2 linked regions of the Oryctolagus cuniculus genome follow. The protein of the gene in region 1 purifies or fractionates together with the protein of each later gene. This does not show direct contact. Links are inferred from orthologs where the notes say so. Each region holds a gene or a part of one and is shown on either strand. Other genes may lie near its edges.

What was found.
Region 2: the proteins of ISG15 (region 1) and HERC5 purify together in Homo sapiens (affinity purification with western blotting; 3 studies listed by BioGRID, with this or other methods). This does not show direct contact. The link is inferred for Oryctolagus cuniculus from reciprocal best matches to the Homo sapiens genes ISG15 and HERC5.

The regions. Positions count from the first base shown.
Region 1 is NC_091438.1:164,356,619-164,359,867, reverse strand, and holds ISG15 (ubiquitin-like protein ISG15), read left to right. Parts: upstream 1-1,352; 5' UTR 1,353-2,004; coding exon 2,005-2,007; intron 2,008-2,200; coding exon 2,201-2,692; 3' UTR 2,693-2,710; downstream 2,711-3,249.
Region 2 is NC_091439.1:77,182,853-77,186,504, reverse strand, and holds part of HERC5 (E3 ISG15--protein ligase HERC5), read left to right. Parts: intron 1-3,279; coding exon 3,280-3,393; intron 3,394-3,652.

The DNA of each region.
Region 1 (3,249 bases):
GGTGAGATGGTGGACGTGGGCGGTGAGACGGTGGACGTGGGCAGTGAGACAGTGGACATGGGCAGTGAGACTGTGGACATGGCAGTGAGACAGTGGATATGGGCAGTGAGACGGTGGACGTGGGCAGTGAGACTGTGGACATGGCAGTGAGACAGTGGATATGGGCAGTGAGACTGTGGACGTGGGCAGTGAGACGGTGGACATGGGCAGTGAGACAGTGGATGTAGGCAGTGAGACGGTGGATGTGGGCGGTGAGACGGTGGACGTGGGCAGTGAGACTGTGGACGTGGGCAGTGAGACGGTGGACGTGGGCAGTGAGACAGTGGACGTGGGCAGTGAGACGGTGGATGTGGGCGGTGAGACGGTGGACGTGGGCAGTGAGACGGTGGATGTGGGCAGTGAGACGGTGGATGTGGGCGGTGAGACGGTGGACGTGGGCAGTGAGACAATGGACATGGGCAGTGAGACTGTGGACGTGGCAGTGAGACAGTGGATATGGGCAGTGAGACTGTGGACGTGGGCAGTGAGAGTGCACGTGGGCAGTGAGACAGTGGATGTGGGCAGTGAGACTGTGCACGTGGGCAGTGAGACCGTGGACATGGAAGTGAGACAGTGGACGTGGGCAGTGAGACGGTGGACGTGGAAGTGAGACGGTGGACGCCTGCTCCCTTCACTAAGTGTCTGTGCTTTTTCTCTGACAGCTCAGCGGAGATGGTGCCCCAGGGAGTTCTGGGCCGGGGAGGCAGGGTCAGGGTTGATACTCAGAATCATGGCGGGCACACTTTGCTTTTCCATTCTTAAAAATTTCATTCACTTATTTATTTATTTAAATACCTCATTTTTATTTAGTCTCAGCCAACTTTGGTGTGTGCTGTTTGTGACAGCAGAAACTTGGGAACAACCTCGACTGGCCGTCCGGGGCTGGTGGGGCTGCACTCCTGGCCATCAGTCCCGTCCCGTCTCGGGAGCTCGGCCACGCGCTGGTGCCTGTCGGCAAAGGAGGCGGTTGATGACCTGCTGCTCCACAGGCGGTGAAAATGGCGAGAGCTCTTGTTTTGTTTTTTAGGTGAAATTCATGTAAAAGACATTAAAATGTTTGTTTATTTTATTTGAAGACAGGGAGAGAGCTGTTTCCCTCCACTGGTTCACACACCAAATGCCCACAAGAGCCAGGGCTGGGCTTGGCTGAAGCCGGGAGACAGGAGCTCTTCCTGGGTCTCCCTTGTGGGTGCAGGGGCCCAGGTACCTGAGCCGGGCACCAGCAGGGAGCTGGCACTGGAGGTGGCGTCAGGACTTGAAGCAGGCGTTCCTGTGTGGGCATCTCCACTGCTCCCTTTTAAATTGTGGTTTTTTTCATTGTTGAACTTGTAAGAATTCTCTACGCCCACAGAGACCCTTATCAGACACATGTGCAAACATTCTGAGTTCACTTCGAAAGGCAGCAAAATACACTTGGTCTTTCATTGAGAAACAACCTGACCAGAGGCCACGTCCTGAGCCCACGGAGGTCTCCGTGGGGGGGGGGGGGCTGGGACTGTTGGCGTCCTATGTAGTTCTGGAAGTGACCGCCGTGACGTTTCCTGGCCTCATCAATTTTGCAATCTGGCAAATGGAAACCGAAAGTCTCCAGTCCCCAGCCCACGTCCCTGTGAGCGCTGAGTGTCCTGCTGAGGACTCCGGGTGCTGGTGCTGGGCATTGCTGGGCACGGCTAGGCAGGCTGCCGGGGCACTGTGGGGGCCCCTTGCCGTGCCCCCACCCCTGGAGCTGTGCCAGCTCACATCGTCTTTCTGTTTTGTTTCTCCTACTCCCTCTGGGGCTCGCCCTGGGAAAAGGAAACCAAAACCAAAGCCTGCTTGGCCCCGGCACCAGCTGGGCGGCAGCACCGCCCCCTGACGTCCGCAGCCGAGGCCCATAAATGGGCTGAGGCTGGCCGGGAACGCGCTAGAGGCTGAGGGGCAGCGGCATTGCCAGGGACTGAGCAGCACCCAGAAGCAGCCACGGCCATGGTAAGCCGGGACGCGCGGTGTCGGGGGGCGCGTGGTCCGGCCGGTTTTCCTCCCCCTCGTCTGTCTGGTGGGGTTTCCCAGGGTGGGGACAGGAGGGGCGCATCGGCGGACGCAGGGGGCTGCACCTGCGGCTGGCGCCTGGTGTGCGGACCCAGGCCTGGCGCCGGTCTCTGAGCCCTGGTGATGCCCACAGGGGAAGGACCTGAAGGTGAAGATGCTGGGCAGCAAAGAGATCTCAGTGCCCCTGAGCGAGTCCCTGACGGCGTCGGAGCTGAAGCGGCGGATCGCCCAGGAGACTGGCGTGCCGGCCTTCCAGCAGCTCCTGGCTGTGCACCCCGGGGGGGCGGCGCTGCTGGAGGAGGTCCCCCTGGTCGCCCAGGGCCTGGGGCCGGGAAGCACGGTGCTGCTGCTGGTGCAGAAGTGTGACAACCCGCTGAGCATCCTGGTGCGCAATGACAGGGGCCGCAGCAGCGCCTACGAGGTGCTGCTCACCCAGACGGTGGCCCAGCTCAAGCTGCAGGTGGCCCAGCGGGAGGGCCTGCAGCCGGACCTGTTCTGGCTGAGCTTCGAGAACAGGCCCATGGAGGACCAGCACCTGCTGGGGGAGTACGGCCTCCAGCCGCAGTGCACCGTGTACCTGAACCTCCGCCTGCGGGGCGGATCTGCCGGGACCCGGCCCTGCTAATAAACAGAAGTAGCTGCCTCCCGGGTCCCCTCTCTGCCCATCACCCCTCCTGTGTCCCCAATTCTGCAGCCCTGTGGGGGCGGTCTGGTTGCCAAGTTATGGGACAAGGGCTTCATGGTAGGGTCATGACAGGGACAGCCTCACATAGGAAAGTCACGTGTGCCAGAGCTGACCTGGCCAGGCTGAGCCAGGCAGCCCCTCACTGCTCACCCCACAAGCTCCGGGGGTGGGGGGGCGGGAGCAGGGCGGCAGCTCTGCTCAGGGCCCATTGGCCACAGGGCAGGCCCCACCCCCAGAGTCCCTGGAACCAGTGAGGTGGGGAGAGGTCCACACCCCATGGGGCAGGGGGCCAGGAACCTTCTGGACTGCCCAGTCCTGCCTGCCTTGGTCCTGGGAGGTGTAGGGCGGGGCCTGAGCACTCACCATCAGGGTTCACATCACCCCCTCAGGAGAGTGTGGACAGTGCATGAGGGCACCTGGATCTGGGACTCACCTGCCCTGATGGGGCTTGGGGGTGGGCGGCAGCTAATTAGGCAGAAGCCACAGGGGACGCTCCC
Region 2 (3,652 bases), on another chromosome or scaffold:
AAAGGTCATGGAAAATGAAATTTAAGATGAGCTTAATTTGGTGAAATACACTTTTAAATTCATGCATGGGGGTATTAAAAATTCATGGAATACATGGAGGGAGGAAGATATGAGGAGAAGTATTATATTCTTAGAATGGTATCTATGAACCACATGGAATTTTTTTCATTGCTTTAATAAAAATAAGTACATAAAAACTATGCTATGAAAAACCAATGCATGAATTTGAAAACAGCAGCCCTGCAACACAGCATTGGTTTACCAACATGAAAAATAGAAGAAAGACTTGGCAAATGAATATTGCCATTGGTCAAACAGTCATTAAGTATTACTGGATCTGTCCGATATGTAGTATTGCCAAATAAGAAGCCTCATTCCTGATTAAGTGGAGCTGATAGCCATTATGATTTATTTTTCTGAAACTCACTTCTTTGAAGAGCTGGAGGCAAACCTGGGATCAAAAAGCCACTGTCTGGATTGGCCATTTGCCTCATGCACATCAGCCGATTACACAGTTACTTAGATTCCTTGACCATCAAACTCATATATAGAAGTAAGTTTTTTTTTTAAGATTTATTTATTTATTTGAAAGTCAGAGTTACACAGAGGGAGAAGGAGAGGGAGAGGGAAAAGGAGAGGAGGAGGAGGAGGAGGAGGAGGAGAGAGAGAGAGGTCTTCCATCTGCTGGTTCACTCCCCAGTTGGCCGCAATGGCTGGAGCTGAACCGATCTGAAGCCAAGAGCCAGTAGCTTCTTCCGGGTCTTCCACATGGGTGCAGGGTCCCAAGGACTTGGGTCATCTTCTGCTGCTTTCCCAGGCCATAGCAGAGAGCTGGATAGGAACTGGAGCAGCTGGGTCTCAAACCGGTACCCATATAGGATGCCGGCACTGCAGGTGGTGGCTTTACCCACTATACCACAATGCCGGCCCCTGGGTCTCATGTTGATGGGGGTAGGTGTACCTGTTATTTCTCTAATTTGAACAGTCTGGACATTGTCTCTTTTTCCGCTGAAAAATTGAAGTTCAAGTTCACTAGGTTTGGCAGATGCTCTTCAGTAAAGCCACCTTCATTCAGTTAGTGTTTGACCTGATGATCCCATGTCTACTTAGAAAATTGGCAGTTTCTTAAGTATGCCAGTGATAGCTTTCCTGTATTCTAGTAGTTCTTAGTGTAATGTGACACCTAATTTATCACACAACTGAAGAAAAAAATCTACCATACTATTGAAAAGCAATGGTTATGCTTGACTGTTATTGAAGGTTTTGTATAAAAGAGAAGGAAGAATAAAAAAAATTTGTTTTGAAAAATTGAGAAATTTATGGAAGAGCTCAAGAAGAGTAGATTCCAGTGAGCTTTTGCCACTTTGAGAGTTGGGAGAAATGCTGATGCAGCCACAAAGAGCTCTTCAGGGGATCCTGCTCTGTCCTTTGACCCTAACAGAATATTTGATATTTATCAAAGCCCATACCTCAGAAGGGGGCCACAAGAGAACATGAGGACGAAGCACCCACTGCACTCACCATTTCGTGATTTTGGGGACTCTGAGCCTAATGGCAGTGCAAGGCCAGGGTCAGCAGGACCCTTGCCACAGGGGTGAAACAGCCTCACCATAATTGGTAGTTCCACTGGAAGGCAGGGATCATTTGGAGTTGCAGAGCCACTGGGAATATCACAAACTGTTGGTCTTATTGTACACAGGGAAGAAAAGTTTATAGAAAACCTTCTGAGAATTAGAATGGCAGGCAGGTGTATCCATATCCAGCTCAAATCCTGGTAGTCACTTGATGTCCCAAGTCTAGTTTCATGAATACTCAGGACCTTTACTGACTGATGCCAGGGTATTCATGTGTCACAGCAAATCCATCCATCTCATGAGACGGAGGGCTGAAAAGCTCCCACAGTTCATTGAAGGAATGTTCCGTGAGTAACTAAGCAGAGAGGACGTCTATAAGTGGTAGTTTGTTAAGCTCTGAAGAACAAACCATAAAGAATTAGGCCCTATGGAAAGCCAAGACACTGTGGCAAAAAAAATGACCTAAATCAAAGATCTCTGTGAGTGAGATCCCAGTGGAAAAAACGGGCCATCAAAGAAGGAGGTACCTTTCTCTGAAGGGAGGAAATTTCTTCCACTATGATTATGGTCTTGTATAAATAAGGTCGGAGTTTGTGAACTCGAGGCTTCCATAGCCTTGGCAGCTCATGACAAGAGCCTCGGGTGATTACTGACATTATAAATAAGAGTGTCAATTATGGCCAGCGCCACGGCTCGCTAGGCTAATCCTTCACCTGTGGCGCCGGCACCCCTGGTTCTAGTCCCGGTTGGGGCGCTGGATTCTGTCCCAGTTACTCCTCTTCCAGTCCAGCTTTCTGCTGTGGCCTGGGAAGGTAGTGGAGGATGGCCCAAGTGCTTGGGCCCTGCACCCGCATGGGAGACCAGGAGGAAGCACCTGGCTCCTGGCTTTGGATCAGCGCAGTGCTCCAGCCGTAGTGGCCATTTGTGGGGTGAACTAATGGAAGGAAGACCTTTCTCTCTGTCTCTCTCTCTCTGTCTCTCGCTTTGTCTCTCTCTCTCTCTCACTGTCTAACTCTGCCTGGAAAAAAAAAAAAAGAGTGTCAATTGTTAAATTAACAACAGGAGTCACTGTGCACTTACTCCCCATGTAGGATCTCTCTCCTTAGTGTGTTGTACTTTGTGAATTAACGGTAAAACTAGTATTCAATACTTTATATTTTGTGTGTCTGTGTGGGTGCAATCTGTTGAAATCTTTACTTAGTAAATACTAAGTTGATCTTCTATATATAAAGATAATTAAAAATGAATATTAATGAAGAATGGGATGGGAGAGGAAGTAGGGGATGGGATGGTTTGCGGGTGGGAGGGAGGTTATGGGGGGAAAAGCCACTATAATCCAAAAGTTGTACTTTCAAAATTTATATTTAATAAATAAAAGTAAAAAAAAAAGAATTAGGCCCTGAGGTACTTTGGATTCATATTATGTTGATTTTTGTCCCTTGGACTTAAAATTCTCTGAAGTTTTCATATGAATTGAGAGTATCTAGAAGTTTATCATTTTATCATTAGTCTCCCTTATTGAATCTTAGGTATTCTTTAATATCCATGGAAATTTGGGGTTTTGGCAGTGGAGGAGGTGTTGAACAGAATTTTATTCTGGTCACTAAAAGTGTTTAATTTACTGTTTTCCTCTGATAACCTAATATTCTTTGAGAAAAATTGTCATTAAATATGAAACTTTCTCATAAGTCACATTTTATTTCAGGTAAATCAGACTAAGTGTCTTGTGCCTGAAGAAGTGTTCGTAGTGGATGAACTCTTAGACTGGCTCAACTTTTATGGAGAAGCATACGGAAGGTGCTCTGGGAAAACGAACTTGGTAAGCATTGCATTTACAGGGGGATATTGATAATCCAGAAGTTAAAATGGGCCTTTCTGCTGTAACTTTCAACATGAGTTTCTTAAAATCCTTGCATTCTGCAGAATTACACAATAGAGGCCATAGGGCATAAGGGAAAAGCAAGAATCCTCAAAACCTGTGTGATTTTATAGCCAGAGTCCTGGCAGAAAAGTGTCTGATACCCAGGGATCGACCAGGCAGTCAGCTCATAGCGCTACGAGCATGTGAAAATGCATGA